Schizosaccharomyces pombe: one gene and its partners. The gene in region 1 interacts genetically with each later gene. Each region holds a gene or a part of one and is shown in the gene's direction. Other genes may lie near its edges.

The links. A genetic interaction does not mean that the proteins touch.
Region 2: of nbs1 (region 1) and sfr1, changing one enhances a phenotype caused by changing the other (phenotypic enhancement), as found in Schizosaccharomyces pombe (one study listed by BioGRID).
Region 3: mutations in nbs1 (region 1) and rad2 are lethal when combined (synthetic lethality), as found in Schizosaccharomyces pombe (3 studies listed by BioGRID).

What each region holds. Positions count from the first base shown.
Region 1 is NC_003423.3:2,648,077-2,652,980, reverse strand, and holds nbs1 (Mre11 complex BRCT domain subunit Nbs1), read left to right. Parts: upstream 1-2,003; 5' UTR 2,004-2,066; coding exon 2,067-2,103; intron 2,104-2,162; coding exon 2,163-2,216; exon of another isoform or gene 2,217-2,254; coding exon 2,255-2,343; exon of another isoform or gene 2,344-2,447; coding exon 2,448-2,596; exon of another isoform or gene 2,597-2,635; coding exon 2,636-2,715; exon of another isoform or gene 2,716-2,745; intron 2,746-2,757; coding exon 2,758-3,926; intron 3,927-3,972; coding exon 3,973-4,236; 3' UTR 4,237-4,404; downstream 4,405-4,904. Other genes in the region: Prp19 complex WD repeat protein Prp17, read right to left, coding at 1-379, 419-1,183, 1,225-1,335; SAGA complex deubiquitinating submodule subunit, TREX complex subunit Sus1, read left to right, coding at 4,517-4,596, 4,665-4,904. UniProt on the Schizosaccharomyces pombe protein: Component of the MRN complex, which plays a central role in double-strand break (DSB) repair, DNA recombination, maintenance of telomere integrity and meiosis.
Region 2 is NC_003423.3:1,578,498-1,582,383, forward strand, and holds sfr1 (DNA recombination mediator Sfr1), read left to right. Parts: upstream 1-1,958; 5' UTR 1,959-2,190; coding exon 2,191-3,090; 3' UTR 3,091-3,383; downstream 3,384-3,886. Other genes in the region: SPOM_SPBC28F2.05C (xylose and arabinose reductase), read right to left, coding at 1-508; ERMES complex subunit, membrane tether and lipid transfer protein Mdm12, read right to left, coding at 630-1,451; hrd3 (HRD ubiquitin ligase complex subunit), read right to left, coding at 3,606-3,886. UniProt on the Schizosaccharomyces pombe protein: Involved in DNA recombination repair and meiotic chromosome segregation.
Region 3 is NC_003424.3:5,389,083-5,393,199, reverse strand, and holds rad2 (FEN-1 endonuclease Rad2), read left to right. Parts: upstream 1-1,777; 5' UTR 1,778-1,938; coding exon 1,939-1,951; intron 1,952-2,020; coding exon 2,021-2,111; exon of another isoform or gene 2,112-2,288; intron 2,289-2,296; exon of another isoform or gene 2,297-2,492; coding exon 2,493-3,531; 3' UTR 3,532-3,614; downstream 3,615-4,117. Other genes in the region: SPOM_SPAC3G6.07 (uncharacterized protein), read right to left, coding at 550-927; SPOM_SPAC3G6.05 (Mpv17/PMP22 family protein 1), read right to left, coding at 3,805-3,877, 3,947-4,044, 4,109-4,117. UniProt on the Schizosaccharomyces pombe protein: Structure-specific nuclease with 5'-flap endonuclease and 5'-3' exonuclease activities involved in DNA replication and repair.

The sequences.
Region 1 (4,904 bases):
AAGAGTCATCAGATGTGGTAACGAAGCGCTTTCCGTTTTCAAGGAATGTTATGGAATTGATTCCGCCGAGATGATGATCGTATGCTTGAACAATATCAGGACTTCTGATATCAAATTGAAGGATCCTTTTGTCAGCTGTTCCTGCTAAAAACTCGTTGGGTTTATCAGGATCTACTTGGAATTTGACGCAGTTTGTTAATCTATCTGAATTAAAGCAGTTCAAACATTTCCCTAATTCGGTATCCCAGAGTTTAATTGTTTTATCAAAACTAGTACTTAAGAATGATCGTCCATCTTGGCTAAATGATAAATCGCGGATAGGACGAGCGTGTCCTTGGAATGTACGAAGCAAAGAACGGTCATGGTAAACTTCCCAAATCTAAATATTAGTTTATCATCTTTTTGCTTACAAACATACCTTTATCTGATTATCCATTGAGCCAGAAAGAAGTAAATGGCCACTAATCGGAAAAAACCTAAGGCAGGAAATACCTTTCGTATGACCTTTCCAAGTGAATATATGCTTCTTTGGAATGTAACAAGTTTGTTCACCAGGCTCTTCCGATAAATTTATTCCGACGTCATTCGGGACATGCATATAGCTTCTATTTTGATAATCAAATAATCTATCTTTATGAAGTATAGTCTCTTCTTTAGAGCGATGAGTTTCAACTTCTGGAGTAGCTAATTGTTCCTTCAATAATTCATTTTGACCCAGGTTATTAGATTCCGTATCCTTTTCACTTTTGACATCCAGGGATTCAACCTCTTCATATTCACTGTACTCCAAAGGTGAAGAGGATTGTTCAGAACCGTATCCGGCCCATGGCCCCTTATAAGCACCATCCCCTTCAAGGATAGATGGATCGCCAGGATCCTCTCTACGTTCTTTTATTTTCTGGGACTTCCTTTTTAAATCTGTAGAAGTAGTAGCTTCGTTATCATCAAAATTTCGTTTTCCATAAATAGCATGTGTATTAGCATAATATTCTTGATTAAATACAAAATTTGGAACATATTCCCTCTCAGCATAACCGGTAATACTGTTCTTTATAGAATCCTGTTCTTTAGTGACAAATGGATTTGCAGGCCCTAAAGCAGGCTGCACCATTTCATTAACCGGGACATTACGCGCTAATTCTCTAGAGTTTCCTCCCTTTGAAACAATTAAATCATCCTTTACCTAAAATGATTAGCATGTTATAAAAAACATTTGATAAATACGTTATCAACCACAGCTGGCGCTAAATTTTCAGTATGCAGAAGAGGTTGGATGTTAGGCGATTGGGAATTCTCCTGTTCTTCTGAATCACTAGAATAGTTTGCAACCAACATAGAAATTGCAAACGGCGAATATGAAACCAGCAAATTCGTATGGTAATGGTTTAAGGAAGATTAAGCTGTAGGGAGGTTTAGCGAGGATGAGAGATTCCTGGCTAATATCAATTAGCGAAAATGAAACACTACAGCTAACTCATACTTCTGCTTATTAGGATAGGTAATAGATAATTCATTGATTAAAAAATAAAGGAATGTAGTAAAAACTAGAAATAAAGTTAGTTATTTAAAGAGGCATGGACTTTTTTAAACTGTAAAAGAAGTTATCCAGTAGTGCATATACACGACGTATGATAAATAGTATTTAATTGAAGTTTGTTTGCTCACATAAGCTCATGACTTTAAAAATTTCATTTTGGTACGATAGTTTACCCCTTTAGTAAATTCATTTTCTAGTGTACTCACAGTATTTTTTGTGTTTGCAAGGCTAGGACAGAGAACCTGTGTAAGTCTAATTTTTTGAAATTATAAATTTTTTAAGAGTTTTTGTTGATTAAACTTTTTCTTGAAGAAAGCTTTGAAAAGCAAGCTTTGTCAATTCAAATTCAAGAATTGGTTTAGTAGATTTAGCTTCTAATTTAACGAAGGGCTTTTGGACATCATAAAGGGTTACTTTGTTACTTTCAATTGTACTAAAATTAAAAGCGACGCACCTATGCATCCTCAGTTGTGAAAACAGCATTCTGGTTTCTGAATTTTTTCAATAAAAAGAATTTTATGTTGAAAAAATGTGGATAATTGAGGCTGAGGGTGACATTCTAAAAGGTATCTCTTACTAGCTATATCAATTTCATTATGGCCGTATTGTACGTACTAAACAGCAGGAAAATCACGGATACTATTTCCAGGAACTTATATTGTAGGTCGAAATGTATCTGGTAAGTTTCTTATTTTTGTTAATTTTCTAATATTGCAGACGATTCGTCCCACATTCAAGTGATTTCTAAATCAATTAGTAAACGCCATGCTCGTTTTACGATTTTGACCCCAAGTGAGAAAGACTACGTACGTATCCAATTAAATGGAAATATTGAGCTTTTCATTTTTCATTTCTATTATATGTTTATCTTTCTTATATTTTAAATCAATGCCAGCTAATATGTGCACAGTTTACCGGTGGCCCATGCGAGTTTGAAGTAAAGGACCTCGATACGAAGTTTGGAACCAAGGTTAATGAAAAAGTTGTTGGTCAAAATGGTGATTCTTACAAAGAAAAAGATCTTAAAATACAACTGGGTAAATGTCCATTCACGATAAAGTAAGTTTTATCGACTATATATGATTTACTAACTTTAAGTGCATACTGGAGAAGTATGTGTATACAATTCGATAACCCTGAAATGTTATCCCAGTGGGCTTCAAATTTAAACCTCTTAGGTACTTCGGTCTTTTTTTTTTTCACTTCTTATCAACTTTCAGGTATACCGACTGGACTACGCGATAGCGATGCTACTACCCACTTTGTTATGAACAGACAAGCTGGGTCCAGTATAACTGTTGGAACTATGTATGCTTTTCTTAAAAAAACTGTAATTATAGATGATAGCTATCTTCAGTACCTATCAACTGTTAAAGAATCCGTAATTGAAGACGCCAGCCTAATGCCAGATGCGCTTGAATGTTTTAAAAATATCATAAAGAACAACGATCAATTCCCGTCATCTCCTGAAGACTGCATAAATTCATTAGAAGGATTCAGTTGCGCCATGTTAAATACGTCGAGTGAGTCCCACCACTTATTGGAGTTATTGGGTTTGAGGATATCGACCTTTATGAGTCTTGGGGATATAGACAAGGAATTGATTTCAAAAACGGATTTCGTTGTATTAAACAACGCAGTATATGACTCTGAGAAGATTTCTTTCCCAGAAGGTATCTTTTGTTTAACTATTGAGCAGCTATGGAAGATAATCATTGAAAGGAATTCAAGGGAACTAATCTCAAAAGAAATTGAGAGGTTAAAGTATGCTACTGCTTCTAATTCAACCCCCCAAAAAATTATTCAACCCCAACGCCATATCCAAAAGAACATCGTTGATGATTTATTTTCTGTAAAAAAGCCATTGCCTTGTTCGCCAAAAAGCAAGCGAGTAAAAACGCTAGAAAACCTTTCAATTATGGATTTCGTACAACCTAAACAAATGTTTGGAAAAGAACCTGAGGGTTATTTAAGCAATCAATCAAACAATGGTTCAGCTCAAAATAAAAAATCGGGTGATAATAGTGAAAAAACTAAAAACAGTTTAAAATCCAGTTCAAAAAAATCGGCAAACACAGGCAGTGGTCAGGGGAAGACCAAGGTTGAGTATGTTTCCTATAATTCAGTGGATAAAGGAAATTCTTCTCCGTTCAAACCATTAGAACTTAATGTTGTCGGTGAGAAAAAGGCCAATGCGGAGGTAGATAGTTTACCTTCAGAGAATGTCCAAGAATCTGAAGATGATAAAGCATTTGAGGAAAATCGTCGTTTACGAAACCTTGGATCTGTCGAATATATTCGAATTATGTCATCCGAGAAATCGAATGCTAACAGTAGGCATACTTCAAAATATTATTCGGGCCGTAAAAATTTTAAAAAATTTCAAAAGGTATGTGGTATAATAAAGAAAATTTCGACTAATCTTTTTCATACAGAAAGCTTCACAAAAAGCACCTTTACAAGCTTTTCTCTCTTTATCTGAGCATAAGAAAACAGAAGTGTTTGACCAAGATGATACAGATTTAGAGCCTGTACCAAGACTCATGTCAAAAGTAGAAAGTATTCCTGCCGGAGCATCGTCTGACAAAAGCGGCAAATCATCAATTTCTAAAAAATCGAGTAATTCATTTAAAGAACTATCTCCTAAAACCAATAATGACGAAGACGATGAATTTAATGATCTCAAGTTTCACTTTTAATAAAGCTATTATTTCCAAAGAATTTTTGTAGTTTATTAACTGTCAAAAAATGCATTACTGATAGTCAGTTTTTTTGTTTATAGTAAAAAATAGAGAAGCTACACTTTTAATAATATTGTACTATTATTGACTACTTACCTGAGATATCGTATTCAGAATGAAATCCAAATATTTTATTTTTCAACTCCTAAATTAAAAAATGATTTAATTATAAAGGTTACTTTTCAATGCTGGTTTAAATATTTCGTTTGCATCTGCAATGGTATATTTCTGCGTAGCAATGTACGACCTCATATTTTCAACAAAGATGACCACTGAGAAAATTGTTGAGCAGCTATATGAAACTGGAGATTATGAAAGGTATAAAAGATAGGCTTTCTTTTTTAAAAAAAAAATTTTATAACTAAACAACAATTTAAAAAATGTAGGCTAGCAAATGAATTAGAATACAAACTTGAATCCTGCGGTTGGACAACTCAATTACGTGACTACACTCGGGGAATTGTGAATTCCGATTCTAAAATTGATTTTCAAAAGCTATATGAGAGCGCCTTGCAGTCTGCAACTGAAAGTATTCCCGATTCGGTTAAAATGGACTTGCTCAAAGACATTAAGACCTGCGTTCTAAAGTTGGCCAATCCTCCTGAGTCAGCAAATGGAGGGAATAA
Region 2 (3,886 bases), 1.1 Mb from region 1:
TATTGAATGCAGAAAATTCGACCTGATTAATAGCTGGAAGGGGCAACCCAAGACTGATAATTTCTTCCAAATGATGAATATTATAGTTGGAAACTCCAATTTTGTTTATCCTTCCTTCTTTTTGATGCTGCAATAGTGCTCGCCAAGACTCAATACGGCGTACGGGCCACTTTGGTGAATGTATTAGCACGACGTCTAACTTTGGACGACCTGTTCTGCGAAGAGACTGTTCGACCGCTTTCCAGGTACGTTCAAATCCTTGTAAGGAGTCAGGAATCTTAGTTATTAAGGTGATATCTTCACGTTTAATATTCACATTTTGATGGCAGAAATCTTGAATGGCTTGTTCACATTCTTTTTCATTTCGATATGTAATTGCTGAATCAATTACGCGAATACCAAGCGAGAGTGCCTCAATTACTTGCTGGTAGCAATCCTTAAGTTGATATACACCAAAGCAAAGTTGTTCCTTTTCAAAATTGGTTTGAGAAGGAGAAAATGGTTTCATTAACGTAAGTTGAGGTAGATGAGAGAGCTCAATGTATAGACAAAAATATTTTCTAAATCCCTAAACCTTTAAGTAGGAGATTAAAGGAAATTTTTTATATATTTAGGATAATTGTAAAGAATTATTCAATGGTTATATAGCTAGGCCAGACAAGTTCATCCTCAATAATACGTTTAACTTTTTCCGATACAAATTTCTCGACTTTAGCAACATTTTTTAGCAGCTGTTTATTAGATTCTCCAATAATACTTTCCACTGTTAAATCTCGAATAACACTTGATGCATGCTCTCCAGTTCCGTGCAGCAATGTATCAACGAAGCATAGATGCGTCCGCTTTCCCATTTTAGCCAAAACAGCAATGGCATCGATGGAAATCCTAATAAATGAAAGTTTGAATGGAAGAACTGCAAATTCAGAGTTCGGGTAATTCATCGATAGAACCGCTTCCAGGCTTAGATTTGCGTCTCCGTCATAAGATACGTGTGCAGTAACTTGGAAATCGTTAGAACGATCTCTTTCTTGATGATTATCCATTGGAGTACTTGGGCGACTTTCAGGAATTGGGCTTGTGAGTCCACTTGCAGATAGAATCCCGGGTGAATTAAATGCGGGATTAAAATATGCTAGTCTTGAAAATGGATGTTCAGCAGCGTAAGGTGGAAGATCCGTAAGCACTGGTGAAACATTATTGCGGGAGCATTGATCACCCTCTAGTTCTTGGTTAGCTAATTCGAAAGCTTCATTTTCATAAAATTGGGGATCAGGATCGCCGATTTCTTGAATAGTAATCTGAGGTGAGACTTTGCCGAAATGGAAGTCAACAACCTTTAAATGCTTTATATAAGATGGTAGCGACAAATTCGAAACTTGTCCTTCGAGAAGATGTAAAACTTTTGCTTCTAATTCTGAGTCTAACTTTGACCAATCAAAGTCAATAGACATTGTTCTGCAATTGTAAAAAAAAAATACGAACTCTTGAATCTCTCAATGACGATTGTAGCAAGTTTTCAAAATTTAAGTAATTTCTTCGTCAACTTGGTTAATGAAATAATATTTAAACCGGTTCTCTAAATTTTATACGAAGACGGCATGAATTTGATACTTTAAACAAAATCCTCCAGCAATTTTAATGTCCTTTCCTTCAATGTTCTTTTTTACTCATCGAGAATTGCAAGTGAATTTTTAAGATATCTATTTATCTTAAATATTACCTTCTGTAGGTACCAAAATCTTTTCTCCTAGTATTGTCAGTAGAGTTAGGTGGTATTCCCAGATTACCTTCTAACAAAGCCTACGCGGTTTAAAAAAGGTTAAAAAACAAATTTGTAAATTAATAAACCTTTTAGTTTATTACTATCGTAATTTGTATAAACATTTAATTTTTTGGAACCACCAGTCATGTGCTTCAGTCTTCTTCTACCTAAGTTCTTGTTGCTTGCTGTTATTTTCACCTTCTGCTAGTAAAACGTTTTCAACGTTTATCTGGAATTTGTGGTATTTCTTCATTTCTATAACAATTAATATTCAATTCATTTAATTATTTGAAGTTAGAGTTTAAACATTCAACTATTACACTCAACGCGTTTGTTGACAAAAGTTACGCGCTTCATTGCATCTTTGTTATAATTTAACATTCACTCTTTCATCTTCGAATTAGTACTTTAAAACGATTTAACTGAAAATGTCGCAAACAATTAACTCTGAACTCAATGAAAATGCTACTTCACAGTGTAAAGAAGATTTGAAAGTTTCCCTAAGCGAAAGTGATTTACGTGACTCACAGGGTCAGTTAGGAATAGAAAACCCTCCTAAATGCAATAACAGTGGCAATCACTCAGATAACCTAGGTTTTATCGAGCAGTCAGAAACAGTACATCCAGAGAATGAGAAGGCTTTGACGCCGGACCTGCGAGATACAAAAATACATACTTCTTTACCAATTACTACACCTTTTTCAAAGAAAAGGGCTCGAGAAGCCAAAAATATACTTCTTAAGCCGTTCAAAAGCCCCTTAAGACAAACTGCCAGTCCTCAAGTTGCAGACACTAATCTAAAACCATCGTTAGCTGTAACAAATCTTAACTCTGATGAAACAAACACTTCTTCAGAACCTGTTACTTCTCCCTTAAGAACAACGCCTAATTCAATAAAACGGCAAAAACGACTTTTCAAGTCACCTATCTCTAATTGCCTTAATCCAAAGTCCGACCCTGAAATCACACAGTTGCTTTCTCGTCGTTTAAAACTTGAAAAAGAAGTCAGAAATTTACAAGAGCAGCTCATAACCGCCGAAACTGCACGAAAGGTTGAAGCCAAAAATGAAGATAAAGACTTGCAAACGTTGATACAGAAATGGAAAAATGCTGCTCAGCAAGCCGCTGAAGTACTTTTTAAACCAATGGCTGAACGTATTCGTTTGGCTGGAGGTGTTACTCAGTCCTTTCGTATTGAAGAAGGTGAAAATAAAGGGCAAATTCAGGAAGTACGAACTGAATTTACAATGAGTATGTTTCTAAATCAGTTTGGTGTTCCTGTTCATTTGATGTCTTTTGATGAAGAAAATGGTGATTGGAAATCGTAAAGGACTCCTTACTATTGTTAAAAAAATTTTCGTTCGTACTAGTTAGAAAACCTTTAGTACGAACTTAAATATGTTTAGCTAGCTTACACCAAAATCAAGGGTATACTAATTGAACGTACAGAGGTACCTTAATCGTTTACATACAAATTGCGCCGAGCTGGTATCGAAATTCTTTACATGTAACAATGAATCGTTCCAGGCTGAGTTTATGACTTTAATTTATATAATTATTAGCATTATACAATAACATGTCTCATTAATTTGAAATTTCTTGATTTTGAACCTTCTGGTTCTAAATTTTTTCTGGAGATATTTAACATTCAAACAACAAAAGTCGATTAATTGGCTGACAGACAACAAATATAGATCAACCAATTGAAAGATGAAAAACAAAATTTATTCAAAGCATGATTTAATCACCGACGAACCCTAACATACATATATTTTTTATTCTGCATCCATCGAGCAACAAAATTTTAAATTAGAACGCAAAAAAATCGAAGATACAATTTTTATTAAGCGCGGTTTTGTCTACGGATGATTCGCTCACGTCGTTCTTGAAGTCGATGCTGTTGATGGCGTCTCATTAAAACCAGTCCGACAACTACCACAATAAGCGTGACACACGCAGTCTCCAAAAACCTTCCATCAATGTAATCATAAGTGAAACGAATATCATTATAGGATTCACCCATCTCTTCAGTATTAGGCGAGGGCAAGGACTCAGACGTTTCTTGAGGGTCAGGTTGTTGTGGTGTACGATCTACTTGTAGTGTTGGTGGTTCTGGGGGAAGTT
Region 3 (4,117 bases), on another chromosome or scaffold:
AACATAATACATTCAAACCTAGTGCATCAATAATCGAGAATAAAACTCGAATAACATTTTGAACCCTTTTTGCAATGAACAAGATTCATTCTTTGTAATCAAATGTAAATTCGAAAAGTAATGTAATATTAAGGAATGTTTCCTTAACTCGATTTGGGATCAACAAATAGAGGTTCAACTTTGATTATATCACTGTGCATACTATAACATGTATTTTTTTAAGTTTGTTTTTTCAAAAGGTTACAGATCGATTTACTAAGCTACAAAATTCAAAAAACTTAAAAAATTCAATACTTGCAAAGCAAAGAAGCAGAAAAAAAGATCCAAAAAAAAAGGATTACATTTATTTTGTTGAATTTATTATTTTTTTTAAAAAATAAATAACTTAACTAATGAATCACTATTTAGCAATTCTCTTTAGATTTGAATCCATAAAAATCATAACAATAAGCGAAGCAATATAACTGGTATTTGCTTATAAAATGAGCGATTCATGCAAGCAGAAAGTTCTTTAAAAACAAAAGAAAACATTAAAATAGATTTAGCACTTCACTTTGGCGTTATAATATCTCCATGTTTTTTTACATGATCACGATACACTCGATATGGTAAAACCAGTGTATACTTTGGCATAACAAAATCATCTCCAACAAACGATTCATCCTCAACATATGTTTTAAGAAATTGTAACACTTCGGTTTGATCAGCTTTAGTGAGGTCGATGTATATATACAACAAATATGAAAATTGGAAAATGGTATTAGCAGTTGCTTTATAAACCACAAACGATTGGTAATATTGTCTACCTTTGTTATAATAGTCTATAACATCAGGAATAACACTGTTTTTTTCCTTTTCATTAGAGACATCTTCTCCTTCGTAATCGGCAGGTGCCAATGTTAAGTATGGCGAGCTTTGTTCAGACATTGTTCTTGCTTTCACAGGTAAATTGAGGTTGCACTGGGATATGAGTATACTGTAAGCAAGGCGCGCAGCATCTCATATAATATTCTTTCAACGAGCCGACATTAACTAGAATTTGCCAACGTAAGATCAGAATGACGTTTTGATCCGCACGAAATACGTCGGTAAAGGAACCTTATTAGTAGAATATTGCAATATTGTTCGTTGTCTGCATACTACACAAGCGATACCATAAACTGGTTACGATTATATTTTCGACGATTCAGTAGCAGATATGGCGAGTTTCAAATAATACTCTCTTGGTAAAATGCCTATTATCCAACATTGTTCCATGAATCAAGGCTATTGTTCTATTAAAAATATTACGTTGAGCAATTCAAGCGGCTTTCTCACTACGGTATCTCAGTACCGTAAAACCACTGGTTTATTCTCATAAAAACAACCTTATGTTACACAGACTTACATCTAGCCAAGTCAATAGGGTTTCGGTAAAGTTCCAATGTACTTTTCATCCTATTCCTTATCCGGAAAAAGGAATCGATCATTTTTCCAGAATTTCTGATGGTACATTACCTTTTCGAGATCTTTTCGTGGTAGTAAACTGCGAGGTGATTTACATTTTACAGCCGTGCTGCCACCAAAACCACAAGAACCTCAATTTGGTAATCTTAAAATTTCTAATTTGTTCCTTCTAGAAATCCTTTTTTAAAAGCTATAATACATGGGAATTTTCAGTATAAATTGGCTGGTCCCTTTCCTTGTATTTACATTCTTTGGTCGATCATTCTTTATGGAAAAGTAACATGTGATTTACTGAATCGACTCTTTGACGTGGATACTACTGCTGGTAGCTAAGAACCTTTGTGTGAGTGAGCAAAGTAAAAACTGCTCGATTTTGAGGAGTATAATACATCTAGCAAAAATTGAAAATTTAATAAGAAGCTCTAAGCTAGTTTTGGAGAAAGCGTTGTTCGGGATCTCGTAATATACATAAATAAGTATATTTGCTAAACGATGGGAATTAAAGGTATGTTACATTTAACGCTAAAGAGTTTATCTTTTACTCTCTCCTTTACTTAAAACTAATCTGGGTTAGGTTTGGCTCAAGTACTAAGCGAGCATGCCCCAGCCAGTGTCAAACATAATGATATTAAAAATTATTTTGGACGGAAAGTGGCTATAGATGCGTAAGTTGAAAGACTAAATAGAAAGCGAAAGTCTCAGTTGACTTGGCAAAGACTGTATGGCTTCTGATTTTGTTTGTAAATATGGGTTAAACACTATGGTGTACAGTTTTTATTGCTAAAGAGCAAAGCTCTATGTCTTAACTCGAGACAAAGATATGATACAAACGAAATATAGAATAAAGGATGAATAAATTTTCACTAACAGTGACTCGGTTAAATTCATTGCTCAAGGTATTTTACATCATTTCTTTACTTTGTTGGTTCTTGAAGTTGCAAACACTAATAGGTCAAACTCTATTCAACTGATTCTTTCCTTTTCGAAGGGTTGATTTATAAAGTCTTCTTGAGGTACTTTATTAATGCTAATTTCGTATATTACAGGTCAATGAGTCTTTATCAATTTTTAATTCAAGTTCGCAGTCAAGATGGTCAACAGCTAATGAATGAACAAGGCGAGACTACTAGTCATTTAATGGGAATGTTTTATCGTACACTCCGAATTGTCGATAATGGAATAAAGCCTTGCTTTGTCTTTGATGGAAAACCACCAACATTGAAGTCAGGGGAATTAGCTAAACGTGTGGCCCGACATCAAAAAGCACGAGAGGATCAAGAGGAGACAAAAGAGGTTGGTACAGCTGAAATGGTGGATCGGTTTGCCAAACGTACGGTCAAAGTTACTCGGCAACATAATGACGAAGCAAAACGTTTACTAGAGTTAATGGGAATTCCCTTCGTTAACGCACCCTGTGAAGCAGAAGCTCAATGTGCCGCTTTAGCCCGTTCAGGAAAAGTTTATGCTGCTGCTTCTGAGGACATGGACACATTGTGCTTCCAAGCTCCTGTACTTTTGAGACACCTGACATTTAGTGAGCAAAGAAAGGAACCAATTAGTGAGTATAACATAGAAAAAGCATTGAATGGTTTAGATATGTCGGTGGAGCAGTTTGTAGACTTGTGTATTCTTTTGGGTTGTGACTATTGTGAACCTATTCGGGGAGTTGGCCCCGCTAGAGCCGTCGAGTTAATTAGGCAATACGGGACTCTCGATCGCTTTGTCAAAGAGGCGGATCGATCAAAATATCCTATTCCGGAAGATTGGCCTTATGAAGATGCCAGAAGACTGTTTTTGGATGCAGAAGTACTTCCTGGTGAAGAGATTGAGTTGAAATGGAAAAGTCCCGATGCAGATGGCATTATACAATTTCTGGTTAAGGAAAAAGGTTTCAATGAAGATCGTGTTAAATTGGGGATCAATAGACTAGAAAAAGCCTCAAAGACAATTCCACAGGGTCGTCTTGATTCCTTTTTTAAACCAGTCCCTTCTTCTCCCAAAAAACCTGTAGATACAAAGAGCAAAGGATCAGCAAAAAGGAAAAGAGATTCAAATAAGGGTGGTGAAAGCAAGAAAAAGCGTTGAAAACGAAGTCATGTAATTGTTATTAATCTAAAAAAAAAACTTAAAAAAAGCAAGACGCATGTAGATAAAACTATACTACGCTATAATAATAGTAAATCTGTTTAATGCATGACTTTTACGTAAAAATAATTAGTCTAAGGAGGTAATTCTGATCATATAAGCTAATAATGGTATACAAAACTCGTTTCTAAGTAATAATATGCCAAAAAACAATCTGGCTGATACAACTCAAAAAACGAAAAGCAGTGGATTCGGACGATGGATCAAAGATCTTTAAAATAGTTCAATTTCTTGTGAGCCAGATTCTTGCATTGAAGAAGCGTTCTTCAAACTAAGAAATATGTTCCTAATTGAAATTAGCAAAGGCGAAAAAACTAGGAGCAAAAATGCTTTATGTCTCTTGGAAACAACATACCAAAAAATAGCAACCGTACAAGCAAATGGCATTTGGTATTGTAAGGGCATTAGCCAAAAGTTCACAGTTTGAAAGAAGGGCCAGACCATATAATTAGCCTTTAAATGTTAGCAACAATACAACAGAACCATTTAAGAAAGAAAATTTAGAAATTAAGTGTACCTTTAAAGT